4 linked regions of the Cricetulus griseus genome follow. The protein of the gene in region 1 interacts with the protein of each later gene in a biochemical or structural test. Links are inferred from orthologs where the notes say so. Each region holds a gene or a part of one and is shown in the gene's direction. Other genes may lie near its edges. The genes, in order: Tfap2a, Kctd15, Eps15 and Cited2.

Region 1 (7,280 bases):
AAAATAATACAAATAATTTAATATCAATGAAAAGACAGATTTTTTTTTTAAAGCCCTCTATTAGGGAAGAAAACTTCATGTTCTCTGATTTAGTTTCTAGTTTCTTGATTGAGTCTCAAGGCTTTAAAACTTGGTGAATTAGGTTAACAAAAATTTAGCTTTTGGTTAAAATTAGCATCTTGAAGATGCCACTATTGACCTAAGTATTTAGAAAAGAAATTGTTAAAAAGGTATTACAGGATTTGAATGAATTTATCATCTGCATTGTGCTTAGTGGGTAGGAATAAAGTTTCATGTATTAAATGCAATAGCAGTATTTTGTTGTTGTTGTTGTTATGATGGCAAAAATCTCAGGGTTCTAGATTCCACCAGAGGACCATGCTATATAAAACTGTTCTCATTTCTAACCCCAATCAGTATAGTGTAAGCTAGTTTAAAGTTTCATTTTTGCATCTGTGAAGTCTTTGTCATGTCAAATTAGATGTGCAAGGGATAAATCTTAAGAGGTGCTCTTTCCAAGTCGACATGATAATTGGCTCTTTTATTAGTAATCTCTCAAGAGTTCGTTTAACTCCTATTGTCTCTATTAGCCTCCCCAGAGCTATTAATGTCACAAGTGATCTATCCAAAACCTAGAGCCCCTCATCTCCCCATACGACTAGAATATCCCCATTAAAAAAAAAAAAAACATGCTGTGATGAGACTGTGTACATATTATTATTACATGTCTCTATGTGGGATTTTAAGATATAAATGCATTGTACTTAAGTGGTTGCGGACGCATCAGAATTAAATTGGTGTTAAGAAATGGACCCCTCGTTTGCCTGGTCTTGAATTTGTTTTCTAACAATGGTTGGTCCAACAATGACGGCTTATGGTTTTAACTGATTGTATATTCTACCTCCCCCCCGCCCCGGACTCTTTTGAAGGGCCTTAGGCAGACCGGGTTCAATTAGTATTTGCTCAACAAAAGGACTCATTCCTAGTGTTCAGCTGTAGGCCCTTTCTTGAGTCCTGTTCAAAAAATGGGCTTGGGATGATTTCCAAAACCCGAGCGTCTTTCAAAATGAAACATCAGGGTCTATCGATGAAAGGAGGTTAGTACAGTGTGTGACAACAGAATGCACCACTTGCTGGCTAAATGGAAATGTTCATTTACTGGCTGCTGCAGCCACCCAGAGTATCCACCGGCTTTAACAGCCATTTCTTTCCGCTGTGAGTCCTTCGTCCGCTAAACCCTGGCTACACCAACCCTGCCCGGGGTTTGCACATGAAACCCACCCGCTGTCTCCCCAAACGCGATCTCCTGCACCTCGCCGGCGCCCTGCGCGAGCCCGGGGCGGGGGGTAGCGACAGCATCAGCCATCTCTAGACAGCTTGCAGCAAGGGTGATGGCAGGAAGCCGCTGCGGGATGCCAGCGCGGTGGGCCCGCCCCCCAACACGCGCCCTCCTCTGTCTCCGCAGGCCCTGTGTCCCTGTCCAAGTCCAACAGCAACGCCGTCTCCGCCATCCCTATCAACAAGGACAACCTCTTCGGTGGCGTGGTGAACCCCAACGAAGTCTTCTGTTCAGTTCCGGGTCGCCTGTCGCTCCTCAGCTCCACCTCGAAGTACAAGGTCACGGTGGCGGAAGTACAGCGGCGCCTCTCACCGCCGGAGTGTCTCAACGCGTCGCTGTTGGGCGGAGTGCTGCGGAGGTGAGGCCCGGCCCCGCCCATTCCGCCCCGCCCATTCCACCCCGCCCCGCCCCGCCCGCGGACGCGGCCTCAGTGCGCCTGCGCCGGGGCAGTAGCGGCGCCGCACGCCGCCGGCTGCCAGGGAAAAGGGCGGGGAGGGGAGCGAGTGGCGCCCGGTGGGAGGGGCCGGAGGCGGGGTGGAGGGTGGGGTGAGGCGGCGCGCCTGCGCATTGCGGGGCCTCGGCTTTCTTCTGCACGCAGGCGCAGCGCTCACTGCTGCGGGCTCAGTCCCGGCCTTGGCAGCCATGGGGCGCCGTGCAGCTGCCTTTTCCCTGGTTGCACACAGGTTGCAAGCTCAGGAAAACTTGTGGGCTCCTCGCTTTGCCTTACCGAAGCGTGGGGTCTCTGATGGGAACCTGTCGCCCTTGAGTGGAGACTGGTTTTCAAGTAAAGCGAGACTTTTGCATGCCGCATGCCTCCCCAACCCTGGTTGCTGGCACCTCCCGCCAGAATGCTCCCCCTACCCCCAGCCTCTGCGCTAGCTTTCGACGGTTCTGATTTACTGTGATGTGTGACAGGGCACGTTTCCAGTTTCCGTTCATTATATGTAGCCGCTCTCAGGGACCACATCCGTTAACACGGGTTTCTCGCCTCTCTGAGGTGGAGTGAGATTCACAAGGGCCAGGGAATGTCTTTCCTGGGACCCAGCGGTATGCCCTCCATCTTAGGAATCTACCCGATGGTGTGAGTTGTAGGCCTAGTGTTACATTTGGTCAAATAGTATGTCTCTTACTCTCCTCTCCATGTCTAACTTTATTCCTGAATCTTAATGACCCGGAGTTGGGCCTTGGTGGGTACAGCTCACCTACATCCTCTAAGAGGGTTTTGCAGAATTAATACCAGCGACTGTCATCATCGTTCAGTCACTTGGTTTTTCCTTAGTTCTTTTACTGCCAGAGATCTTTCTCTGCCCTCTGCTTTTTCCTCCCCTTCCCCCATCACCAGTATCGGAGACTGCTTACCTAAGGGAGTATAATCTAATCCACGCAATTAAAGAGCCACTTGAGTAGGGAATAAAATCTGAAATTAATTAATTTGCTGTTTTATTTAAACAATTTATCTTAACCACTTTCTGATTATGGGAGTCTATTTAGACATCTATTTAGAAGCGCCTCCATTGTCTCTGAAATCAGGGAAATTTTTGAAGGCTGATATCAGCCATCATCCTTTTGACATTTCCAGTTATGCTCCTGACGTGGCATGTAAACAGTTGTCGAGATGCGTTTCCCATTGGGACCAAAGCGAGAGCATGAAATGTGAGCGTGATGATAACTTTGGTTACTGGGAACGACCTAACAGCAGATCTTGTGAAGACAATTTAAAGACCCCACTGGGGTTTGTGTTATTGTAGCAACAGGGAAAATACACAGTAATCAGCTGACCTCAAGAATACCTCCAGCTCCAGAGTTCAGAACTATGTGTTTGCAGCTCTTCTTCAGAGAACTAGAAACAGAAAAGCTCCCAACCTGCCACAATAGTCGCAACAATAACTGAACACAGTGTGTGCTTTACAGCTGAACTAGCCTTTATCTCCTACAACCTTTCTGTACAGTTCCTTAGGCTTCTCAGTTTTCAAGAACACATTTTAGAAAGTGTTCAAAATTACTTTAATGTGACACAGAGCAAGTCAATATTTTCTATATCTTTATGAAACAGAGCGAAGTCTAAGAATGGAGGACGATCTTTAAGAGAAAAACTGGACAAAATAGGATTAAATCTGCCAGCAGGGAGACGCAAAGCTGCCAACGTCACCCTGCTTACATCATTAGTGGAAGGTAAGCAAATCCACTTGCTAAGTAGAAGGGAACAGTTGTCTGGGGAAATGGATAATATTTAGTGGCCAGATGTTTGAGTGTGTTTTGTGTACTTTGGTGGTTTCACCTTTCCATGGAATATAGCTATAACTGGAAGTGAACAGAATTCTGGGATGTCAAGGAAAACCAAGTAACAAAGCCAAACAAAACTCCAGAGACTATATACACTCATGCCTATATGTTCTTCCTGTCTACCATAAAATTACCTTGTCCTCAGCACAAATCTGACCTAAACAATGCACAAATTTAAGAGCCACACATTCTCCAAGTTCCTGTCTCCTCTAAAGAACTCAGCAGTAAATCACTTAAGTTATTCTGACATCTGCGTTTGAGAAATGCGTGACCATTACTTCCTGAATTAATTTGGGAATCTTTGACCTGCATCCTGATTTAAGACTGTCCTGAAAGCTCAGGGTTAAAGCCCTTGTAGTAGTTGTTTTCTAAACATGTACTTCCTCATCTCCTGCTTCATTGTGTTTCGTTCTCTCCACGATTGAAAGAAAGTGAGCAATTTTAGAATTTGGATTGTCAGATACAGAAAGAGAAAAAGAAGCAGACACATTGTAAAAGAGTTTCTTATGGCAGATTTTTGAGCACACACACCCTGCCAAATTCCTCAAGACAAAAAGCCATCCCTGTCCAGTTAAACAAAAACTGTCACCAGAATCCGTTCATGTTCCTGCCTCCTAGATTCCTAACTTTTTCTGATAGTCAGTTGGTTTAAGGTTGGGATTAAGGGTTGGGTGAATGCATAGTTCTCTTGTGCTTTTCTTTGTGGCTTGTTATATCTCTTGTTAAAAGGAAAATTTAAAAAATAGTAATTTATTCCTAGGCAGATTTAAAACTAGCATTTATATTTCAATGAGGCAATTTTATCTTATTTGCATAGTGTGTTGGAGGAGATAGTGCCATTGGATCCAAGTTTTTTGGAAGTTTCTAGAAAGCATCTGAAACAAATGTTTTTGAGGAGGAATTCTATGACTTTCATGTGTTAAACGGTGTTGAAGATGAAGATGATGAAACTTAAAAAAAAAAAAAAAAGCAAGAAAACCCCAGCCATTGTTCAAGGCCAGAAATTCAAATACAGCCACATTATATTAAAATAATGGTAGTATGTAGAAAACCACTTTTCATATCCTACCTCCCAAATTATATGTCATGAAAATGGTGGTGGCAGCCGAGGATGGCGCGTGAGCATTGGTCTGGGTCTGGGGGTTGAGACTGCAGTGGGGAGGCAGTTTCTGGAGAACTGTTATTGTTTGTGATCCGCTCCATTTTATGGAAACAAGCTCTGCCGAGAGGCCTTTGATGCTCTAATTGGCGCATGCGTTCTTCCGGAGCTGGAGCTAATGGCAGGAAGCCCTGCAGTAAAAACCAACTGGTTCAGGAAATTAAAACCAAAGATTCGAAAATCAACAACACAGACAGACTCAGTGGAGTGACCCTCAAATCCTCTTGGTTAATCGGCTTGGATGAACAGATAATTATATGTGATCAAGTTAAAATGTAAACTCTCAGTTGTTCCCTTGCTGAAAAGCTCAAGGAGTAATTATGGAACATCATTGACGAGTGTGTTGATAGGTGTGAGGTTGAGACGGCAGAGCCATTTTCAAACAGAAGTTGGGGAAACATCCCTCAGGGATGGGTATGGGGCGATGGGTGGGATTAACATTTTCAAAGCATTTTGGCCTTGTAAGCCAACTTGGCACTTTTACTGATGAGTAAGGTCTCCAGGTCTCACAGAGAAGGAATCTCTAAAGTAAGAAAACAAGGGGTTTCTGTTCCTTCCAACTTTTAGTGAAGAAAACTAAGGGAGTTGGGTGTAGGGAGGAGACTTTGATTCCCAATTTCTTCTTTCTCTGGCCCTCACTTCCCTCCTCCTACCTCTTGCCAGGAGAAGCCGTCCACCTAGCCAGGGACTTTGGGTACGTGTGCGAAACTGAATTTCCTGCCAAAGCAGTAGCGGAATTTCTCAACCGACAACATTCCGATCCCAATGAGCAAGTGACAAGAAAAAACATGCTCCTGGCTACAAAGTAAGGCATTTACCTCTGCGGGGTCTAGGCTGTTCACTGTCAAAAACAAAACAAAACTATCTTGTGCTCTCTTCTCTTTTTCATTCCTATTGATCAGCTTTGCTGTGAATACTGAAGTCAGGGCACAAACATAAATTAGCACAGACTGTATCAAAGAGGAAACAGCGTGGGAGTGTCAGTGTGCTTCCTGTGTTCTCCCTCTCTTCAGTCTCTTTCTTATTCACTAACTTTGAAATTAGTGGGGGTGTGGGGGGGCAGCAGGGATTGCACTGAAAGGGTGTGGATTTGTGACAGTGTTGTTTCATAGAAACCAGAGTCCAAGTCCTCAAAGGTACCAATCAGGCTTGCCTAGGTCCACATTTTCTCTCATCAGTATGTTCTCCAAGGGCAAAGATTAAGCTGGGACCTGCAAAATGTGCCATCCAGAAACTGCCCTACTTTTACCTCTAATCCTGGATTCCATTTCATTCTCTTCTAGCCTCAAAAGTCTCTCTCTCTCTCTCTCTCTCTCTCTCTCACACACACACACACACACACACACACACACACACACACACACATATAGAGAAAGAGACAGAGACACACAAACAGAGTCACAGTCATACTCTAAGTTTTAGCCTACAAGCAAGCTGTCAAATGGGTTTCAAGGTGGCCCAAGTTTATATTCCCATAGGTGCCTGGGCTGAATAGACTTCTCCAGATTGAAAAGAAAATGACTGTTTTGATATGTTTTCTGGAAATTTAAAAGGATTGTTTTAAAGTCCCTAATTACCAAAAGCTGGTGTCACTGGAGGGCACTGCTGTAGAGAATTAAGAAACTGAGGCCTCGGGTGGGACAGTTTCTGGCCTGATAACACTGCTTCCTCACCTTTACACACATACACACACACACCCACTGTAGCCATCTCAGGAAGGTCCCTGCTACAGCTGGCTTCCAGGGCCAGATCGACTTCCTGGGTTTCCTTTCTCTGTGACTCTCCACAGTTTTCTTTGAAACAGTCTGTCACTGACCCCAGAGCTCACCATTTGGACTAGATTGGCTGTCCAGCAAACCACTGGATTACCCCTGCCTGTCACCCAGCACTGGCGTTGGAGACACAAGCCTTCAAGTTAGGCTTTTACATGAGTTTTGGGAATCCGAACTCAAGTCCTAATCTGTGTGGTCAAGCCCCTTTTCCAGTGAGCTCTCTCCCCAGCCTTGTTGCTGTTTTTAAAAAGCTAAGTTTGCCTTTCCTTGGAAACTCAGACCTCACTGGGTTTGAAGGTAAATGAGAGGAGACTCCATTCCACCAACTGCTACTGTGTCTCCTTTGGGAGTGTGTGGGGCAGACTCTGACGACATTTTGAAAAGCAAAACTGATGGTTCTACAATACTGAAGAGGGACGATTGTGTTTCTAACTTCCGGTGCAGCCTGTAAAATACTTTCCTGTGTCCAGGGAGTTTGCTATGAATGAGAAAGATGTAGGCAGAAGTTTGTTGTGTTTGAGGGGTGGGGGCTGGGGAGAGAAGGTCCTTTTGAGGTAGGAAGGGTATTCATTCCAGGGAGGATCACTGGTTCAGCAGTGGCAGGCTTCACCATTCTGAGCGGCTGGTCTTGGGTCCTGAGGGGGTTGGGGGTGGGGGTGGAGGCAGAGGTGACTGCAGGGAGCGTTGCCTTTTCCCCTGTTGCCTGTAAAGCCTGGTGGGAGCTTCA
Region 2 (6,838 bases), on another chromosome or scaffold:
CACTGTCACTGTAAGACTTGGTTGCTGGGGCCATGAAAGGCTTCTGTCCTAAGAGGAGGTGCCCTGCTGCCATTAGACCCAGAACAGACACCAAACCATGGAAAGATCTAGAACCTGCTTGTCTTGGCTCAGTAGACAGCCTAGAACCCTGCCAGCCTTGGGCTGTGGGTGGACTGGGAATCCTCTAGACTGACAGGACAGACGCGAGGCAGCCTCTGCCAACTCCAACATCAGAGCAGCTTGGAACCCAGCCAGACCCAGCATTCTGCTTGCTACACAGAACAGAACGCTTGCACTCTTGGCTGGGGGAGGGTGGAAAGAGTTCCCAGGAAGGCTGAGGTGTGAATTTGCTGACTCACCTGTATGCTGCCTCTGACCTCTTCCTTGTCAGAACCTGGTTTGGACCCTCAGCTGTTTGCCCTGGCAGTTTGATATCATGGCTTAGCCGCATCTGGGTCCAGGGATTCTGGGTGCCCCCGCAGCTAAAAATGTTGAAGTGTTGCAGGGCCAGCTCTCAAACGAGCTGCCCGGCACTCACAAGGGTTTGCATCAGGGTCACCAGGCAGAGGGCCCCCCCCAGGGGGAGGGGGAGAGAGAGACAGAGACAGACAGAGAGACAGAGACAGAGAGAGAGAGAGAGAGAGAGAGAGAGAGAGAGAGAGAGAGAGAGAGAGAGTCAGTGCACAGTGGCCTGGGTGTGGGCCCTTGGCACTGCCCTTCCCAGTGTCCTGGGGAGGACATTGTCACCAGCAGCCTCTGGAGCCCTCGGGATTTATGTTTGTCAGTTGTACCTCTGGTTCTTCAGGCTCAGGCCTCCACGCCTCTAACCCACAGGTTCTGACCTGCTCACTCCCACCCGCCAGGCAACCTTGTCCTTTATACTGACCCCCTAGGGACAGGCTGGGCCACGTCTGTCCCCAGAATGAGAACAAGTGATTACATGGCCACCGGAACATGGGACTGTGTGGATTGGGAATACCTAAGAAGGGCATTGGGGGCTCTGAACTTCTCAGCTCTGGCAACTGGCATGCTCTGGGTGCACGTGGCTGTGACTGGGCGTGGCTGAGTTGGGCTGAGCAATGAGTGTGTAGCTGTAGGAACAGGACAAGGAGAGAGGATTCTTGGAGGGGGCAGGGTGGTTGGTGTAGGCCAAGTCAACAAGTCCCCTTACCCCCTAATTCCCTGGTTCTCCGAGGCTTGTTTTGTTTCATTTCGTTTTGTTTGTTTGTTTTGGTTTTTCAAGACAGGGTTTCTCTGTGTAACTGCTCTGGCTGTCCTGGAACTGGCTTTGTAGACCAGGCTGGCCTGGAACTCACAGAGATCTGCCTGTGTCTGCCTCCCAGGTGCTGGGATTAAAGGCACTTGCCACTACCTCTCGGCCTCCAAGGCTTTCTTAGGAACAGTTCTCCCAGGCTCGAAGTCAACCAGCCACTGAAGAACTGCTCACCTCCCTTCTGCTCCCAAGTGAAGATCTTAGCTGCCCCCAACCCACTTTGGGGCTCCTGATTATCTAGCTTAGCGTTTGAGATCTGCAGAGCAGTTAGCCAAGCCAGACCCCGCCATTGTGTGCTTGGGGGCAGGGGGCAGTAGCCTAGGCCCCAAGGCCAGGTTTCTCTGCCATGAAATGGACAGTGAGAGGCATCGGGGCTCCCCCAAGGTCTCCTGTGTCTGTAGCATTGTCTTTCTAGGCACTAGAGTCGTTCCCAGTCCCAGCCTCTCTCACCCGATATGCACACATGTGTGGTATACATGAGTACCTGTCCAGGTCTTGGACCACATGATCACTGTGCTCTGGGATTTGCATGCAAATGCAGGCTCTCCCTTGCCTGTCTCTCCCCCGTGGCTCCTTAAGTGAGGCAGTTATGGGGTCATGTCTCTGAGTCGATTGCTTGTGTTAGCTGGTGAGTGTCACTGCCTGAGACTGTGATCCCGGACCTATTGGCTGCACGCAATGCGCTGTTATTTGATGTTGGTGTTGTGGCTTGGGTGAGAAGGTGTGTGTCTCTGGAGACTTAGCTGGTTGACATACATTTAGCAGGTGGCTGACTGGGAGCCAGAGCTCTGGGTGGCCGACACATGTTTTCTGGGCATGTCTTTCTGCTGTAGGTGTGTGTGGGTGTGTGTTCAGCTTGGACCAGCTGGCTTATGTGGTTTTCCAGACCATGTGTCAGTGGGCCATCAGACATAGTTGGGTATGTCCCTTGGCTGGCTATAGCTCTTGAAGGTGGTTGGAGCGATGACGTGGCTGCCCTAGCGTCCTGTGTATGTGAAGGCAGCCTGTCTGCCTCACATGTGTTTGCTGACAATTGTCAGGATTGGCAAGGTCTCCAAGTTACCTTAGAGGTCCCTAAGGGTGACCTCTTGCCCCTCTAGCTGAGTGAGTTCCAAGGAGTGGGGGTGGGGCAGGTGACCTCAACCCTACCCTGCCAATATTCCATCTTGCCCGTCTCTCCCAGAATAAGCCGCCTCTTCAACGGCACGGAGCCCATTGTCCTAGACAGTCTGAAGCAACATTATTTTATCGACCGGGACGGAGAGATTTTCCGCTATATACTCAGTTTCCTGCGGACGTCAAAACTGCTGCTTCCAGATGACTTCAAGGTGAGTCGAGCCAGCGGCACCCCCTGCCCTGCCTGTGTCTCGTGGCATTACACAGGGGACGCTGCGACTTAACAAACGGACCCACAGTTGTCATGGCGACCACCAAAAGCTAACCAATGAAGCCGAGGGCTAAATCAGTTTTTCCAAACTCATTTTGCTTTCTCACATCTTGAGAGTATTTATCGGGGTGTAACAACAATTAAGCTTTGGCTCTTACCCCAGGTTGATGTTAGTTGTGTTTAAGGAGTTAGAGGTCTGTGTGTCTGTCCGTTGTTGCAGTTTGTAGCTGGGGGGAAACCCCTGGGAGCTAGGGGGTTTAAACAAATATCACTCCCAGGACTCTGGATAAGCTTGTCTTGGGTAGCTGATCTGGTTCTCTATGGCCCTGCCTCAGAGCTGAGCCCCTCTCAGGTGCTGGAAATCATGAGGGGAAGATAACTCAGGCCTGGCTCTTGCTGGCAAATGTGTCTGTCTGTCTGTCTGTCTGTCTGTGTGCTTCCTTGCTTTGAGGCTTCCTGCAGCGACTACTGCACCAGCAGCCCCGGGGCCCTTTTTCATCCAGCCCAGTTACTAAATGGCAACAGCTGAATTCGGTCTGAAAATAGAGCTTACACTGGAAGCCATGGGCTCTGCCTCTTCCAGCCTAGAAAATAGAGGTTTAGTCTCAATTGCATGGGGCCCAATGCTTCAGAAAATTGTGCATGCCTGGTGTGATGGATCCCACCAGATACACACTTTGTCCCAGGCCTTCCAAGATTAAGGCAGGGGGATTGCTGAGTGTTCTGGCTAATCTGGCCTACAGAGTAAGCCACTGTCTAGAAAAAGTCAGCAACAATGATGCCGTACACCTTTAATCCCAACACTTGGGAGGTAAATGTTGGCTATGGCTAGTCTTTGTGAGTTTGGTGGGGCCAGCCTGGTCTATAGAGGGAGTTCCAGGCCAGCCAGGGCTACGTGTCTCAAAACAAAGAAGCAGAAACAGACAAAATAGAGTCCTAATCAAAAGATGGGGAAACCTGGCCTGGGTGGTGGGTGTGATGGAAAGTGTTGAGCTAGATGGTGAAGGAAGAATGGAGCAGACAATTGTGGATACCCTAATGACATGGAGAGGAGATCTGGGGCTTTGGGATCCGGGAAGGGAGGGGAGACGGGGAGGCTGCTGGTGAGACCTGCATCTTGCTGGGTGGCTCAGCATATAGCAGGATAGTGGGGCAGAGTGATCAGGTTTGCAAACTGGGAGGACCACGCTGGCTCTGCTGTGAGATGCAGGGAGAAGGAGTGGGGACAGGCTAGCTATGTCACTGTGTTTCTGGGTTTGCTGGGAGTAGGGAGAGAGTGGCATTGGGGGAGAGAGGTACAAAGGCTTTGAGTGTGGGTTATTGGGTCAGGAGGCTCTGGAGGGTGCGTCCAGCTCGCAGCTTCAGCCCTGAGTCAGTGAGTCAAAGTCTGTGCCTGGAACATTCTAGGCTTGGGGAAAGAGTTGGCATAAAGATGTCATATAAAACTCTCAGGGCTGGTGAGAGCTGGGAGAAAAGACCTTTTATGAAGAGCAGGCAGGGTCACAGCTCGTGGTGGGCCTTGATGATGGGATTCTGGGCCTCTGGGGCCAACAACAGAAACACGCTGGGTGTGCAGGCTGGGCTGTGAGAGTTGATCTCCCTTGCTTTTCCCCTGGGACGTCAGTCACCACCTATGCACTGAGTGGCGTGAGTCATGGACATAGGCCCCTCAAGAATTGGTGAGCACACACACACACGGCTAGTGTCAGGGTCTGAGGGGACAGTTTTTGTGGATGGGCTGTTTGGTGAGGACCTTGCCCCAGGACCGTCATTCCCAGGGACCTTGTCATATTCTCTACCTGCTTTGGCAGGGACAGAGGCTTGGCAGGTCTCCTGTCCTTTAATCTTCACTCAGGGTCCAGTGTTTATATTCATTGTAAAGAGGGCAAGCCAGCTCAGGAGGGTTTGTAGCCCTTGTGGCTGATGGGTGAAATGCATTCCCTAAAGGTCTGCTTGGGATCTGGGCAAGGGCACAGTGTGAAGGAGGGCAGCATGTACCCAGCTCCTATCTCCCTATAGTTTCAGCTTCTAGCTTGGTCTTTCTCTTCCTTCCTTCCTTCTTTCCTTCCTTCCTTCCTTCCTTCCTTCCTTCCTTCTTCCTAGACAGGGTTTTTTTGTATGGCCCTGGCTGTCCTGGAATTCGCTCTGTAGACCAGGCTGGCCTTAACTCACAGAGATCCCCCTGCCTCTGCCTCCCCAGTGCTGGGACTAAAGGCGTGCGCCACTAGCAGCTTCCAGCGCTTTCTATGACACTTCTGTTTGCCGTCCGGTTGAAGGTCCAGGAAGAGTCTCATCTGATGCACTCAGCCTGCTTTAGATTCTGTATGTTGGGGGCACACGCACTGGAAATCTTTCTTTGCTCACCTCTACGATGGAAATGACCGTCCTAGTCCTCATTGTATCTGGGAGTTAAGCTGTCTGTGAAGAGGGAAAGGATGAGCAACCCAGATGGGACTGCCTGGTGCTTCCCTGACGCTATGTGTTTGTCCACAGGACTTCAACCTACTGTATGAGGAGGCGAGGTACTACCAGCTGCAGCCCATGGTTCGCGAGCTGGAGCGCTGGCAGCAGGAACAGGAGCAGCGACGGCGTAGCCGGGCCTGTGACTGCCTGGTGGTCCGAGTCACCCCCGACCTGGGTGAACGCATTGCACTCAGTGGCGAGAAAGCCCTCATTGAGGAGGTCTTCCCTGAGACGGGTGATGTCATGTGCAACTCCGTCAACGCTGGCTGGAACCAGGACCCCACACACGTCATCCGTTTCCCCCTCAATGGCTACTGTCGACTCAACTCTGTGCAGGTGAGGGCCATGGATGCAGAGAGAGGTGAGGGAGTCAGTCCCGGAATGGAGTGGACGAAACCCATACAGGAAAGGCAACAATGTCCGGATGCATAATTTATGCCTTGCTCATAATTAAATGATGGTGCCTGGGGGATGGACTTAAAAAAATTGATCTGTACTTTTCTTTTTCCCCTAAAAGGATGTTCTATAAAAAAAAAAAAAAAAAAAAAAGGCCCAGAGTATTTTCAACGGAACATGCTTCATTTAACATGCAGAGGCTGACTTTGGATTCAAATTAAACCCAGGCACCAGGAAAGGCAGGGAGCCTTCCCATGAGGCTGGCCCTGGGGCCACTGGCAGGCAGCAGCTGCCTAGAGCACTTCTTTCCTTCTGAGACAGGATCTTCTGTGTAACCCAGGCCGGATGCAAACTTCGCCTCCTCCTGCCTCGGCTCCCTGTTTCTGGAAGCTTTTTCCTGACTCAGAGACACTCATATTTTGGGGTTAGGACAAAAGGGACCCTTTGGGGAAAGCCCCCCCACTTCCTGCAGGCTCAGAGTAAGAGATTACTCTTTGCAGGACACAGATGTAGGGCCAGCCCCCACCTTCCCAGAGACACAACCCAGGAGGCCTTTGTAGGCCTCCAAGACTCACTCACACACCAAAAGGACTCCCCTCTTTCCCTTCACCTAGAACTCTTTGAGCTGATGAGCCCTCAGGCCTCAGACCATCTGGGACTCAGCTCCAGGAAGCAGGTGGCTGCCCTGAGGCTAGGGGGCAGGGGCTTTCCATTATTGGAGCAGGAGATTCAGAGAGGGGGTGCCTGGGGCCATGTGGGGGGGGGCTGGGGTAGGGCACACCCTAGATAACAGGGAAGGGACCCCAAAAGCCCCTCTTGCTTCCCTAGTTCCTGGCTATGCACCCGTGAGGGTTGGAGGGAGCAGCCTGGGTGGGATAGCAGAGGCCCACCCTGCTTGGATAAGTTGAGGCTTGACTGCACCTTTCCCGCCTAGGGTAGGATCCAGCTGGTGATGCAGCTGGGTCTAAAACCCATCAGAAGGTAGCTTGCTTTGCCTGGCACCCAGCTGCCTACCAGGCCAGGCAAACTCTAGCAGCTGGGCACTGCTGACCCCTTTTTCTTCCCCTGCAGGTCCTAGAAAGGCTGTTTCAGAGGGGGTTCAGCGTGGCTGCCTCCTGCGGGGGTGGCGTGGACTCCTCCCAGTTCAGCGAGTACGTGCTTTGCCGGGAGGAGCGGCGACCGCAACCCACCCCGACTGCCGTCCGGATAAAGCAAGAACCCCTGGACTAGGCCCTGCCTCAGGGCCCACCTGAGACCCCCTCAGTCCTGGGGCAGCCCCATGGACATGGAAAGAGTGCTGAGGAGTCCTGCCTGTTTGC
Region 3 (7,280 bases), on another chromosome or scaffold:
TCAGGAAGCAGAGTGAATCTTTTTGAGTTTGAGGTTAGTCTGGTTTACATAGTGAGTTCTAGAACAGACTGCACAGTAAGACCCTGTCTCTCAAAAAAAAAAAAAGTTATTAAAATAATCTTATCCAATTATGGGGTGTGGGGGGGGTGGATATTGACATGCCACAGTGTTCTTGTGGAATCCAGAAGAAAACTAGCAGAAATTGGTCCTGGAGATTGAATTCAGGTCGTTGGGCTTAGCAACAAATGCCTTTACCCACTGAGCCACCTCACCAGCCTGAGACATTTTTTTTTTCCCTCGAGGGTTTCTCTGTGTAGCTTTTGAGCCTATCCTGGCATTCGCTCTAGAGACCAGGCTGGCCTCGAATTCACAGAGATCCGCCTGCCTCTGCCTCCCAAGTGCTGGGATTAAAGGCATGCGCCACCAACGCCCGGCCTGAGACAAAAGATTTTTAATCCTTCATACTCACGTATGTATTTTTGGTAGGTGAGAAGTAGTCCTGAAATAGCAGCTTCTGATGTGACTGATGAAAACGAAGTTGTGACTGCAGCTGGTAATGAAAAAGTTAGTCCCAGATTTGATGATGACAAGCATTCAAAAGAGGTGAAGATAATTATGCATTCAGTTGTTCTTGTCACTTGTCTTAAATGTTCTTTGTAGCTGCAAGAATATTTACTGATTTTTTTCAAAGTTTGTATATGATCTGAACATGGGTCATTGAAGTATTATCTTTTAAATGTTTGGTTACTAAAATATCTGTTTTCATTAAAAATTATTTCTAGGAAGATCCATTTAATGTAGAATCAAGTTCACTGACAGATCCAGTTGCAGATGCGAACTTGGATTTTTTCCAGTCCGATCCTTTTGTTGGCAGTAAGTATCTTTCTTTTGTAAGTGTATAACACTTTCTGATATATAAACTATATAAACATGGAGGCTTCAGTTTTGAAAACATTTTTTACAACATAAGAAAAGCTGAAAATATGGGTTTCTATTCTTTTTATTTGCTAATATTTAACCTCTGCATTATACTGTACAATTCTCTGACTAAGAGAATGTTTCTTCCTCAGAGTAGACTCCACAGGAAAGATATATTATAGTCCAGTGGTAGAGATTACACACTCATGACTCACGTTATTTAGCTAATAATTACTGAAATGCCAACAGCAGGTCAATCATGGGATCACACTGCTGTAATCCCAGTACTTTGCAAATTTGAGTTTAACCTGAGCTACAGAACAAAACTGCCTCAGGAAACTTAAAAAAAGAAAGGAAGGGAAGGGAAGGGAAGGGAAAGGAGAGAGAGAGAGCGCACCAACACTGTAATTTTGATTCATTAGAAGCTCACGGTGCAGTGACACAAACCTTTAGTCCTAGTACTCAAGAGTCAGACATAGATGGGTCTCTTGAGTTCAGCCAGTCTAGTCTACATAGATAGCCAGGGCTACACAGTGAGACTATTATCTTAAAAACAAAACTAAACTAAAATGACAGTAAAAGCCGGGCGGTGGTGTTGGCTCACGCCTTTAATCCCAGCACTCATAGAGATCTGCCTGCCTTTACCTCCCAAGTGCTAGGATTAAAGGTGTGTGGCACCACTGACTGACTGCATTTTAATTTTTGTTTACTTCTTTTGTCACAGGTGATCCTTTCAAGGATGATCCTTTTGGAAAAATTGGTCAGTATATTTTGTAGTTTCTTCTTAACTTTAATTCTATTCTTCTTAATTATAACTTTATATTGTATTTAGAAATGAGAACACACAACTTGGGTAGTTCTAGGAGAGGAACTGCTTTTTAGTTTTAAAACTGCTCTAAAGCCAAGGTAAGATACTAAAATATTCTGGCATTTTTAGAGAGTGATTAGAGCCTTGTGAATTTGCTCAAGAAAGTGTGTGTGTGTGTGTGTGTGTGTGTGTGTGTGTGTGTGTGTGTGTGTGTGTGTATTGAACCTGGGGCTTTGTGCGTGCTAGGCAAGTACTCTGCTATATCTCCAACCCAAGCCTTGCTTTTTAAAAAAGTAATAATCAAAATGTTGCCTAAAAGTAACATTGTTGGTAGGGTTGGCAAGGTGCTCAGTGGTTTGGACTGTGTACTGTTCTTGCAGAGGGCCAGAGCTTGGTTACCAACACCATGTGGGTGGCTCACAACAGCCTGTAACTAGCTTAGAGGAGCCAGTACCTGTGATCTCTGCAAGCACTGCACTTGTACACATACACATAATTAAAACTTTATTCTAAAAGGAATAGGTTCTGATTTCTCCACATTAGCTAAAAGCTAGATCAGTATGAGTTGTACACTACTACAAGACTGCAGGGCTAGAATATAATTTTATTTTACTACTCTACGATTTTAGACTATTCATGTAAATAGAGGGAATTGAAGGATACTAAATTTGAGATAATTGTTTTTCTGAGATTTTTCACTAGAACAAAGAAAATCTTGTTTCCTATTTAGTTTTGCTTCCCAAATGTGTCTCAAGGTATTAGCCTTGAGCTCAGGAAAGAAATGTATTTAAATTTCTGTTTCTTTTGTAAGCATTGGACAAGAGGACTTAAAATTGGATCCCTTAAAATTACATGCTAACCAAAAAGTTTAGTACCTGAAAAGCTCTGTTTCCTCAAAAGTACAATAGAATCTGGAATAAAAAAGGAACTTGGGGTTCCACAGAAGTTCAAGTGACTTTTTAGTTTTTGAAAATCAAGCAGAGTCTAATCAAAGAGGACAGTTTTAAGTCTCAACAGTTACTTAGAGGAAGGGAATGGAGAAGAGAGGGAAAAGCAGTGTTGTCATTAAGCTGGCATGGAGGTCAACCATGTGGTAGACAAGCAGCTACACTGTGGGGGCAGGAGCTTTACAAAGAGTAAAAGAGCTCCAAGTCCCAGGAGATGCATTCTTAGACTCCGGCCAGCACCCAAAAGGGACAAAAAAGAAGTGAAAAGAAGCCGGGCGTTGGTGGCGCACGCCTTTAATCCCAGCACTCGGGAGGCAGAGGCAGGTGGATCTCTGTGAGTTCGAGACAGCCTGGTCTACAAGAGCTAGTTCCAGGACAGCCTCCAAAGCCACAGAGAAACCCTGTCTTGAAAAAACAAAAAACAAAAAAAAAGAAGAAGGAAGAAGGAAGAAGAAGAAGAAGAAGAAGAAGAAGGAAGAGGAGGAGGAGGAGGAGGAAGAGGAGGAGGAGGAGGAGAAAAGAAATGGCTTTGGCTTTTTGAGCAAGAATGGTGGATAGACCCAGCCCTACGTCATAGTGGCTCATAGGGAATGCTTAAAGTGTTTTAATTGAAATGTCATGATATGCTTACAGACAATAAGGAATTACAGTGGGTTTTCAGCTTTTTACATTTGTTCTTTTTCTCCTTAGATCCTTTTGGTGGTGATCCTTTCAAAGGTTCAGATCCATTTGCATCTGACTGCTTCTTTAAGCAGTCTTCTACTGACCCTTTTACCACTTCAAGCACTGACCCTTTCAGTGCATCCAGCAATAGCAGCAATACATCGGTAAGTACACAACTAAAAATTGTTCAGACGGATAAACAAGTGTCCTAAGGAAATTTCTTGAGTATATAGCTATAGAATCTGCCTTTTGATTGTTTTTAATGGTCCATATGAAATTTGTCTGGCTCCCACCTATCCAAGTTTTTGTCTAATGTAATGTTTCATACTTGAACACCCACTGGACACGAGGATGATTTACAGTGTCCCAAAATGAAGTCCATCCTTATCCCGTTGGTGATATTAAGTGTAAGTGACTGGAAATTCAAAAGCCTGTCTTAAGTAAAACTTTTTATAAATATCTGTTATAGTATTGAAAGAATAGAAATTACTTAATGGGAAAGCATTAATATTTTAGAAAAATAAAATAATCCATGATATTTTATAGTTATACCTAGAACGTTAATCTTGGAAAAGTATAAATTCCCATTGAATGTCAAGCTTTCTTGAGTACATGTCCACAACCTCTGTTTAGTAGCCACAGACTATGATCTAAGCCTCTGTGCTATATAGTCATTGTCTCTAATCTTCAATTTCACTTTACAAGGCAAATGTTGATACCTCTGCTTTAAAAATACAGACAGTTTTGGTTTTGAGCCTAACCTTTAATGGCTGAGCCAACTCTCCAGGCATTTATGGCTGGGTGGTGGTAGCGGCTCATATCTTTAATCCCAACACTGGGGAGGCAGAGGCAGGCAAATCTCAGAGTTTGAGGCCAGCCTGATCTACAAAGAGAAAGCCAGAGCTACACAGAGAAACCCTGTCTCAAAAAATCATGTTTCTTTAATATGTCCCAGGTATTTGTGTTTGAAAACTTAAAAAAAAAATTATATAGGGGCGGAGGAAATGCTCAGCCTGTAACAGACTTCAGTTCAGCTCCCCACATCCTCCAACAGCTCACAGTTGTCTGTAACTCCCTCTCTGGACTCCCGCAAGCACCAGGCCAGCATGCACACACGCACAAACACACACTCAGTAGATGCACATACATGCAGCACATAAAATAAAAGTAAATTTTTAAAAATTCCCATTGAATTTGAGTAATTAGAAATACTCAAAATAGAGTAACAGAATGAAATATTTTAATTGTTTTTTTATTTTGAGACTTTCTGAGGCAGCAATCTCATTGCTGTAAGTAAACTGGACCTAGAAAAGCATAATTAATTGGCAGGCATTTCACACTATTTTGTTGTGTATAACTCTTGGGTTAAGATTACCTCCTTAAAAGAATAATTGCTTCCTTAAAAGAATTGTGAGCCAGATATGGTGGTACAGGCCTGTAATTCCAAAACTTAGGAGGTGGGGTAAGAGGTTTGGGAGTTCAAGGTCAACTTCAGCTGTTAGTTTGAGGCCATCCTGGGCAATGTGAGATAAGAAATATGAAAAGAGAAATAATGTAATATAAGGGAGGATAACAGAGGTTAGATTAATAGTACTATTTTTTCTGAGACAGAGTTTCTCTGTGTAGCTGTGGCTGTCCTGAACTCTCTGTAGAACAGGCTGGCCTTGAACTCACAGAGATACCCCTGCCTCTGCCTCCTGAATGCTGGGATTAAATTCGTGCACCACCACTGACTGGCCTATAGTACGTATTTTACTTGAAAATAAGACTCTCTCCCCAAAAGTCTTTTCCAATTCTTCAAGACTGCCTCCTGCTCTCTGATGGAATTAATTTAAATGAAACAAAACTTAGTAGTGTTATGCAAGTACTAAGTCAGTCAGGTAAGGAGTGAATGGCTGATGTACCAGAGAATTTGAATAATAATTAGGTGATTTGTAGAAGGGTTTCAAAACATTAACTCCTATAAAATTCTACCATATGAAGCTGAGTTATGAAACTTACTTTTGGGGGCCAGTTAGAGCAACTTACTCTCTTCTTAAGGACATGGGTTCAATTCCTAGCACTCACACTGGGAATACCTGTATAAGTAAATAAATAAAATTATTTTGCATGCTAAATTTCCTAATTATCAAATTGAACATAGCCCAAGGAGAGTTTTATGATCACTGTTTTTTTTGGGGGGGGGCGCGGTGAGGGGGTTGTTGTTTTTGGTGGTATATGTTTGTTTGTTTTTTATAAGTCAGTGTCTCCTATAGCCCAGATTGACCTTGGACTTACTGTATAGTTGAAGCTGGCTTTAAACTCTAGATCTTCTGGCCTGTATCTCCCTGGTGCTGGGATAAACGAGCATGTGCCACTATGCCAGTCAGGCATATATGACCATTACTCTGTTTTGTTTGAGACAGGTTTCTCTATGTACCAGCCTTGACTGGCCTGGAACTTAGTTTGTAGACCAGGCTAACCTTGAATATACAGAGATCTGTTTACCTCTGCCTCCTGAGTGCTGGGATTAAAGGCATGGACTGCCGTGCCCAGCATAGCCATTGTTCTTTTCTCGGCTGTACACTCTGTCTCATTCGTGTTTGAGTGGTTGCACTGTTTGATGAAGAAATAGAACAAAAACTACATCCATAAAGGCATTACTGCTTCCTCCCCTCCTTGGTTGTTTATGTGTATGTGTGTTCCTCTGAAGGGCAGAGTTCTAGGTTTTTGTTTTGTTTTTGTTGTTGTTATTGTTTTATGATACAGTGTCTCTATCTAGTCCTGGCTGTCCTGTAGCTCACTATGTAGAGCAGGGTGGCCTCGGATTCACAGAAGTCCTTCTGCCTCTGCCTCCTATGTGCTGGGATTAAAGGCCTGTGACACCATGCCCTGCTAGAATTATTATTAAACAGTAGTTACAAATTGTAATATTTGGAGTAAAAGGGGACAGTAGTGAAAGAATTGTAGAAGTCTAAATAAAGCCTATAACTGTAACTTGGGTTTTTTACTGGTGTCAAAAATCCTTAGTTTTAGTAGATAGGCCATGATTTCATGAAATATTAATATTTGAGGCAGCTAGAATTGCATGTGGGAACTTTGTACTGTCTATACAACTCTTTAAGTAATTTCACACTAAAGTTAATGTATGTGCTTATAAAGCAAAAGAAATGAGTACCATCAAAGCCAGGATACTAGTCACCTCTGCAGGGCTTCGGAATACATACAGCTCAGTGACAGAGCACTTAGCATGTGTGAGCTCTAGGGTCAGTCCCAGTACTACCAAAAGGTGACCTCTACAGAAGAGGGCTTGGGATTATGGCTTGTGAGAGGCACGTGAAGCCTACTGAGTGTTGGGACCTTCCTGTGAGATGACTGCTTGAGTGTCCACATGAAACTTAACTTGTTAAATTATACACATGCCTCATACTTTAAATATTTTGCAATCCAAGAGTATTTTCATCCATTGTGACTACATATAAGGAAAGGGAAAACTCTGTTCCAGATGTTTGTATTTTCTAATCCATAATTTTGTAAAGTATTTTTCTTAGGTTTAACAGTGAAGTTCCAGCTATGAAATGTTGCCTCTCGGTCATAAATTTGTACCATTTCTTTAGATAGAAATTTGGAAGCACAATGACCCATTTGCTCCTGGTGGAACAGTTGTTGTTGCAGCTAGTGATTCAGGTAAAGACTTTGTCAGTTTTATTCATGTTAATCATTGCGTTTTCTTTAAGATTTTCTTCTCTAAATGTGTTTGCCCTATTAATTATGACTTTTAAATGGATGTGTAATTATTTCCATTTATAGCACAATACTAACAGCAACAAGTATTTGTGTATCACTTTTTACTCTTCTTATTCATTTTCTTGTTTGTCATTCACACTAAAGGTTTTTCTAGACTATGTACTGTGTTCAGTGTCAATAAAACCAATAAGAAGCTTTTGCTTTAGCCGGGCGTTAAT
Region 4 (7,922 bases), on another chromosome or scaffold:
AAAAGTAAAGTGCGATGAGGAAAGGGAACAAAAAGGGACATTGTCCTTTGGGTAGGATACTGAGCAAGACCCCTGGGGTGGAATTTGAGCAGAGACACAGAAACGAGGACAAGGGCCATCTGAGTGTCTGGGAAGATAACTCGAGGGAGTTTCTTTCCCGATCCGCAGGGATCTTTCAATCTCTTCATTCTTCACCGGGGCAAGGTTGGATGAAGCCTTTCTGAAAAGCAGGGGTTCACTCAGAATGTGATCTGATTCGAACACAGGATGAGGTCCTTTAGGATAGGCCTAATCCAGTACAACTGATGTCCTTATGGGGGCTGGAGGGCGGAGAAACACATATGCAGGAAAATGCTATGCAAAGATGAGGGCAGAAACCACGAAGTGTTGCCAGACACAAGACAGACAGGACCAATCCTGCCAACTCTTGATTGTGGACTTCTGGCTCCCTAGTATGTGTCAGACAATCACGTTTTGTTGCTTAAGTGTGGTGTTCTGTTATGTCAGTCCTAGAAAACTAATACAACCAACTAATGCTGACAATCAGAAACGGGCCACGCCTCCCCAGGCTTCCAAGAGAAACCCCAGGGAACTTCCTGTGTTCCCAATAATTTCCCCCTACCTGGACGCCCTGTAGTCAGTCTTCATTTCTCAAACCATCCTCCACCATACTACCTCATAAACTGATAAGCTGGCTCCCACGCCTCCATGTCTTTCGGACCCAATCAGAATTCTCAGCCTGGAATCACTGGCCCTTAGGATCCAACTGCAACGCGTTCTCTCCAGTTTGTTTCTCTCATCTTTGCAGTAACTCATTGTCCCTGTGGTCAAACTTTTAGTCATCCCGAAGCCTTAACTAGTTTACCATGTCCACCAGGAAGCCTCCCAATGTCTCTGAGACAGGATATGGTATCCCTCTTGTGTGCTCTGGGGTGACAGTGCTGCGGGGGAGCTGGAGGGTCGGAGGTGGGGAGGGGGTGGGGCGTGTATCCAATGCCTGATTATCAGAGGTCTCTTTGTAACCGTGAGTTCCTGTCTTGTTTATATCTTAGGGTACTAAGAAGTGCCTGGCACCTGAAGAACATGCATTGGGAGACTAAATGAGCAATGCATCTTGCATCCCATCCAGCTGGACCCAGAAGTATTTATTTTTCCTTTTAGTGGTGGGGGATGGGCAAGTGACCTTTCTGGGGATTGCCTAACAGTCTGTAGAAACGCTGGCGCTGGATGGTGGGGTACCTTCCCTTAATGGCTGCAAGAGGAATTTAGATTAGACATTCAAAAGCTGTTCCTTATGTCGCAAGACACTGCACAATAAGGAAGGGAAGTAAACAATCTATTCAAAAAATAATCTTGGTTTGGCAGTTTTTTTTTAAATTTTTTTGATAGGAAGTGTCCCTTCTGATCTCCAAACCTCTTGATTGTTCAACTTCATGTTCGTGACCTATAGGAGAAATTAGGAGGTGAACAAAATAGGGGAATTGTTATAACTGAAAGCCATATCTCTTGCTCACTTCTCCAAAAAGTAAACATTCTTGAGGTTTCACAATCATTTGCATACAGGGTTATAAATGCTGGACAGCCTGGAAAAAGGGTAGAGAGGAAGACAGAGGGTTTTGTTGTTTTGGGGTATTTGAATAGGACTAACTAGAGGAAGACAGAGAAGTAAAGCAAAAAAAAAAAAAAAAAGATTTACTGAATGAGGCAGGCAATGTATCAGAATTTCCAGTTCTCAAGAAATACAGCCTTAAAAAAAAAAAAGTCTGGAGCTAGAAGGGAGAAAAAGAAACGGGAAGGGGGAGGGGTGCTGGCTCTTTACAGCAGGAAGTCTTCCATGGACATCAAGTTATGAAGAAACAACTGTACACAGAAGTCCTTATTCGGAGCGCTAAACTCGATCTCACCACTTAATGAGAAATACACGCTCCATGCAGCTTCATCCCGGTATTGGGGAAACAACTAACCAAGCAACAGAGCTCCGACTGGATAGTGGACCCGACCAATGTTAGGGGTTTTATTTGCAAGTCAATGAGCCAAATGGGCGATCGGGCTCGTTGTGCTTCGTTCTGCAGGCAAGGTTATTATTATCACCGCCTATTGCTCCACTGAACAATTTCACTGAAAAGGAAGAGTCTTAGCAGTGTATGCGCGCACCGTGCCATACAGGACGTGCCGCTACGTGCCCACCTCCAAAACGACTTTATTTACAAAGCGATTACCAAGCTATCTATCTGTTTTCCTTTTGCTGCAGCAGCAGCCTTACTCAGCCCTCGAATTTCTTAATTACAAACCCATTTGCTTCTAAATCAACCCCAAACCGTCAGGCAGAGCCCGGAGGGAGGCTGTGCAAGTTTGCACACACCCCCACCTCCTGGATCAAGGGCAACAGCAGAAGCAAGTAACAGTGTATGTGCAAAAAGGTGGATCTGGGGACTAGGATCGCTGAGTTTGTTTACAGAGCAGGGACGCCTCAGCTCGGATGCCAAAGCTACCAAGAGCTGCAAACGCAAACTTAGCAGAAGCACACGTACTCCGGGAACGTGGAGCAGACCAGAAAGAGTGGAGCGGATCCCCGAACGCGGGAGCTGAGCCGACCCGGCCTGTGAGCGCGCTCGGTCGGTCCACCTGCAGCCGCTGCCGCTCCCCACCCCCAGCCCCTGTCCTTGAAAAGAGTGGAGGCGGGGAAACGCAGGCACACGCAGAAAATATCTCGGTTAGGTTTACATGATGCCCGTGTAAAAACACAAAGGCGCGGCTCAGGAAACCGCGCTCAGAGGACAGGGCAGGGTCGGTCTGGGGCTTTAAAACCCCAACTCGGGAAAGCAAAATCATTATTCGCAGGCTGAGAGGCTTCTGCACTCAAGAAAACTGCAGGGCTGGGAGCCGAGCGAACCCCCATTTTCCTGTAGAGCGCAGGGCAGATCACTAGGTGAACCGGGTGAGCGAGCTGGGGGGTGGGGAGATCTGGCCAGAGGAAGGCGGAGAGTGCTCCTTGTTTCTCTCCTGTAAGTGCTTCCTTGCACTGGGTGGCTTGGAGGATTACCTCCTTGCCTCGGAGGTGGCAGGCACAACCTCGCATTTGGGGGTCAGAAAGACGCCCACAGTCCCGGGAACTTCAGGGCGGCGCCGGGGCGCGCAGCCTCTGCGCACGTGCGGCGCGGACTCGCGGACGCGGCTCGGGGACCCGATCCAGGGCGCTCAAGTTCCGGAATCCGCATCTTCTTGCTTGCCGACGGGAGGCTCTCGCTCCGCCCTTCCAGAGATCCTTATATTAACTGTGGCCAAAGCCCTAAGAAACACAGCTCATTGTTGGCAGCTGCCGGGCGGTCCTGCGGAGCGGTGAGGGCAGCGGAGGGAAAAGAAAAGGGAACGGCTCGCAATCTGCCCCAGCGGCTGCTGCAAGACCTCGGCGCCAACCTCGCACAAGCGAGCGCACCACAGCCCCTCGGCTGCCGCTCTATGTGTTGCTGAGCCGGTCCTGGACCCGACGAGCCCGCCTTCGGTGTTCGGAGCAGAAATCGCAAAGACGGAAGGTGAGCGCGGCGGGCGAAGCTGGCCAGGGTTGCTGCCAGCCTCGTCCTCCGAGGGCAGGGCTGGCCCGGGGGACGAGCGTGAGGCGGAGCTGGGGAATAACAACAGGATGTGCAACCACAGGGTGAGGAGGGCTGATTGAATGCCTGAAGTTCGTGGCCGAGCTCCGGGGCACTTCCTTTATTAGGCCACTTCGGGGAACCTAAGGGGGTGTGGGCTCCGGTCGCCCCCCCCCTCCCGGATCGCTGGGGAAGGGGCCGATCGCTCAGCGCCAGGCTGTGCGGGTCCGGCGGGCGGCAGGTCCGCTGAGGTGGCGAGCTCGGGTGCACGGACTGCCGGTGGGTTCCCTCTCGGGGGTGGTGGTCTGCCGCTTGACGTGCGCGCGGATACTGGGGCGACAGAAGTGGGGTGCGCTCCGGTGGGCGACACGTGTGGCGCGGGTCTCAGCGTCTACTCGTTTCGCTTTCAGGACTGGAAATGGCAGACCATATGATGGCCATGAACCACGGGCGCTTCCCCGACGGCACCAACGGGCTGCACCACCACCCTGCCCACCGCATGGGCATGGGGCAGTTCCCGAGCCCGCATCACCACCAGCAGCAGCAGCCTCAGCACGCCTTCAACGCCCTCATGGGCGAGCACATACACTACGGCGCGGGCAACATGAATGCCACGAGCGGCATCAGGCACGCCATGGGGCCGGGGACTGTGAACGGGGGACACCCCCCAAGCGCTCTGGCCCCCGCTGCCAGGTTTAACAACTCCCAGTTCATGGGCCCCCCGGTGGCCAGCCAGGGAGGCTCCCTGCCGGCCAGCATGCAGCTGCAGAAGCTCAACAACCAGTATTTCAACCATCACCCCTACCCCCACAACCACTACATGCCGGATTTGCACCCCGCTGCAGGCCACCAGATGAACGGGACAAACCAGCACTTCCGAGATTGCAACCCCAAGCACAGCGGCGGCAGCAGCACCCCTGGCGGCGCGGGCGGCAGCGGCACCCCCGGCGGCTCTGGCAGCACCTCGGGCGGCGCTGGCGGCAGTGGCGCGGGCGGCAGCGGCGGTGGCAACACCATGCCGGCCTCGGTGGCTCACGTCCCCGCGGCAATGCTGCCGCCCAATGTCATAGACACTGATTTCATCGATGAGGAAGTGCTTATGTCCTTAGTGATAGAAATGGGTTTGGACCGCATCAAGGAGCTGCCCGAACTCTGGCTGGGCCAAAACGAGTTTGATTTTATGACGGACTTCGTGTGCAAACAGCAGCCCAGCAGAGTCAGCTGTTGACTCGGTTAACCTCGGCGGGCGGGCGAAAGAAATCACCCTCCCCACCCCCACCCCAACTTCTTCGGTGTGAATTAAAAAAACAAAAACAAAACAAAAAAAAAAAAACATTCCCTTAGACGCAGTATCTCACTTTTCAGATCCTGAAAGGTTTGAGAACCTGGAAACAAAGTAAACTATAAACTTGTACAAATTGGTTTAAAAAAAAAAAAAGATTGCTGCCACTTTTTTCCTGTTCTTGTTTTTGTAGCCTTGACATTCACCTCCCTTATGTAGTTAAAATATCTAGCTAACTTGGTCTTTTTTTGTTGTTTTTACTCCTAATTTCCTCACTTTCTCCAGTGCTCAACTGTTAGATATTAATCTTGGCAAACTGCTTAATCTTGTGGATTTTGTAGATGGTTTCAAATGACTGCGCTGCATTCAGATTTATGATTGAAAGGAAAAATTGCATTTGTTGGCTGCATGAACTCTGAAGGGCAGATATTACTGCACAAACTGCCATCTCGCTTCATTTTTTTTAACTATGCATTTGAGTACAGACTAAGTTTTCAAATATGCTAAACTGGAAGATTAAACAGATGAGGGCCAAACCGTTCTGGATCAGGAAGTCATACTGTTCACTTTAAAGTTGGCTGTCTCCCCTCCCCCATATGTACAGACAATAATAGGGTGTGGAATGTCGTCAGTGGCAAACATTTCACAGATTTTTATTTTGTTTCTGTCTTCAACATTTTTGACACTGTGCTAATAGTTATATTCAGTACATGAAAAGATACTACTGTGTTGAAAGCTTTTTAGGAAATTTTGACAGTATTTTTGTACAAAACATTTTTTTGAAAAAATACTTGTTAATTTATTCTATTTTAATTTGCCAATGTCAATAAAAAGTTAAGAAATAACTTGTTTTCTGTTAGTCAGTCATTGGGGGCAGGGTGGGTTCCTTTAAGTTGGACTGTTAATTGATTGAGAGCTTTCCAAAGGGTAAGTTACAGGACACTAAAACAGGTCACGGTGAGCTTAAGGGAGAGCAGGATTTAAGATAATTGGCATAATGCTGCATTGTTACCTTTGTAGCTTGCCTCTTGGTGTGGTTTAATCAAAGGCAGAAAAGTTGTCAATGTGCTTTGTTGTTGTTTTTTAACTGCATCCAGTTACAGTGAACCTTTGCTGGGAAGGCTTGCAATATTAAACCTATCTTTCTCACTGGGTGGGAGAGAGGGGGGGTCAAGTGTTTCTGATTCAATGGCTTAAAAGGAGTGGACTAGAGTGATATACCGAGTGATTGATGGGTGGTATTAAATATAAATCTACCTTTATTTCTAATGATGAATTTTATTTCTGAGCAAAGGTGCTAAGGAGAGACACATTTTCCAAGATAATCTCAAATAGCTTCTGACTGGGTTACAGTTCTGAGTGGAAGGAGGCTGGAAGCCACCTTGAGGCTTCCTCTAATATTTAAATTTCACCCAGTGGTTGATTCAAAGGCCAATTACAACCTCCATAACGTGCCTTCGCAAGCATGCCCCACTTTCCAGAATTCTGAGCTGCTGCTGTCCCATGCATTAGGTGCCAGGCACCTTGCTTTAAAACCATTTCTGACAACCAGGATGCAGACCATCTCCATATCCGATGGGTGTCGAGGACCGCCTTACATAATCAATCGGAGGAGAAACAGCCTTCAAGTGTCAAAACATCCCAGGTGGAAGGGGAAGGATTTAGATGTTGTCCCCTGTCATGTTTTCATGCTTTTAAGAATAGCATAACCACAGCCAAGAAAAAAATAACAGACTCATACTTAACCTATGGAGAACAAGGAGATGCAGAGTGAAGAAACCCTACAAATAAGCCATGCTTCGATTCCTTTCCGTGTTTGGCTCTCACCTTAAACCCCATGCTTCATAGGATTTGCCCAAGTGCTGTCCTGGAATCTGGCACACAGGCTGGCTGTGTAGGACTCAGACTGCCTCCACTCTGTAACTTTCATTTCCAAGCAGGACAGGTAAAATTAAGATGCACACTGCACTGGGTTTGTTAGGCCTCTATAATTGACATCGCCCTACTAAAATTCATGTTCTATGAAATCATCCAGAGCGCTTTGACCCCAATTTTCAAACAATCCCCTTTCTCCAATAGTTGAGGCTGAAGTTTTTCTTCAGCTAACACGTGCCAATACTGCATCTTCAATCAGGCAGTAAATCTTCCTAGCTTGGCATTTTCACAGTAAGACCACCCCACCCCCACTCCCCGAAGACTCAAGTGGAAAACAATTGTTTACATACATATTAATACAGCAATTCTGGTTCTTTTTCACGTGTGTGTGTGTGTGTGTGTGTGTGTTGTTTGTGTATGTGTGCGTGTTGTGTATGTGTGTCTGTGTGTGTGTAAAGCAAAGAACTGTCATGCCATCACCCTTCGCCGTTTATTCTGCCAGGGAAGAAGCCATAACACCTGCTCTGTCACTAGATTTCCCCCCCGCCCCCCCCTCGCCCCGCCCCGCCCGCTGCTCCAACGCCGGACACGTATGTAGAGACGCAGAGCTCAAGTAACTATTATTAGAACTTGGACCCATCCCTGCCAGAACAGAGGACTCAAACAGAGGAGCTGGCTAAAAGCACAATTTGTCCTCAGTACAAATACAAATGCTCTCCCCGCCATCTCTATTTCATTAAAACTCTCTTGATCAACAATTGAGCAGATCCTACGTGATATCTGCAGGTCGCTTTAGGCAGAGAAAAATAAGCCCTTGTTTAAACAACCCGATTAATGAAACCTGTACAGTGACCTAGATCACCGGGCTCCTGGCAGACATTTGCAAAAACCTTCTGTGGTCTTGCTTCCTACTATGTTGCTTAGAGCATATGGGGAAATTTGACCTCTGTACCTTGGCTGTTTGTCAAAAAGTTCTAATGCGGTACAAGAGGGCCTCTGTTCTTTAGGCTTTGCACACAAATAGACACTCCATGCTTGGTTTTCAAGACGAGATGAGTGATAAGCACAGCCCCATTGATACATAGCAGAAAAATATGTCTGCATGTATATAATCGTGTGGGTCTGCGGGTGCTTGATAAAATCCTGGTGGCGGCATCTTTATGGCTGATAAAGAT

The links.
Region 2: the proteins of Tfap2a (region 1) and Kctd15 form a complex in vitro, tested with the Homo sapiens proteins (2 studies listed by BioGRID, with this or other methods). The link is inferred for Cricetulus griseus from reciprocal best matches to the Homo sapiens genes TFAP2A and KCTD15.
Region 3: the proteins of Tfap2a (region 1) and Eps15 form a complex in vitro, tested with the Homo sapiens proteins (2 studies listed by BioGRID). The link is inferred for Cricetulus griseus from reciprocal best matches to the Homo sapiens genes TFAP2A and EPS15.
Region 4: the proteins of Tfap2a (region 1) and Cited2 form a complex in vitro, tested with the Homo sapiens proteins (2 studies listed by BioGRID, with this or other methods). The link is inferred for Cricetulus griseus from reciprocal best matches to the Homo sapiens genes TFAP2A and CITED2.

Annotation. Positions count from the first base shown.
Region 1 is NC_048596.1:260,399,940-260,407,219, reverse strand, and holds part of Tfap2a (transcription factor AP-2-alpha), read left to right. Parts: intron 1-1,465; coding exon 1,466-1,697; intron 1,698-3,392; coding exon 3,393-3,511; intron 3,512-5,444; coding exon 5,445-5,586; intron 5,587-7,280.
Region 2 is NC_048602.1:3,869,711-3,876,548, forward strand, and holds part of Kctd15 (BTB/POZ domain-containing protein KCTD15), read left to right. Parts: intron 1-2,456; coding exon 2,457-2,601; intron 2,602-5,153; coding exon 5,154-5,459; intron 5,460-6,590; coding exon 6,591-6,749; 3' UTR 6,750-6,838. UniProt on the Homo sapiens protein: During embryonic development, it is involved in neural crest formation. Inhibits AP2 transcriptional activity by interaction with its activation domain.
Region 3 is NC_048595.1:40,455,393-40,462,672, reverse strand, and holds part of Eps15 (epidermal growth factor receptor substrate 15), read left to right. Parts: intron 1-486; coding exon 487-603; intron 604-782; coding exon 783-873; intron 874-1,642; coding exon 1,643-1,678; intron 1,679-3,363; coding exon 3,364-3,500; intron 3,501-6,932; coding exon 6,933-7,002; intron 7,003-7,280. UniProt on the Homo sapiens protein: Involved in cell growth regulation. May be involved in the regulation of mitogenic signals and control of cell proliferation. Involved in the internalization of ligand-inducible receptors of the receptor tyrosine kinase (RTK) type, in particular EGFR.
Region 4 is NC_048595.1:271,951,620-271,959,541, reverse strand, and holds Cited2 (cbp/p300-interacting transactivator 2), read left to right. Parts: upstream 1-3,400; 5' UTR 3,401-3,533; intron 3,534-4,000; 5' UTR 4,001-4,008; coding exon 4,009-4,818; 3' UTR 4,819-5,717; downstream 5,718-7,922. UniProt on the Homo sapiens protein: Transcriptional coactivator of the p300/CBP-mediated transcription complex. Acts as a bridge, linking TFAP2 transcription factors and the p300/CBP transcriptional coactivator complex in order to stimulate TFAP2-mediated transcriptional activation.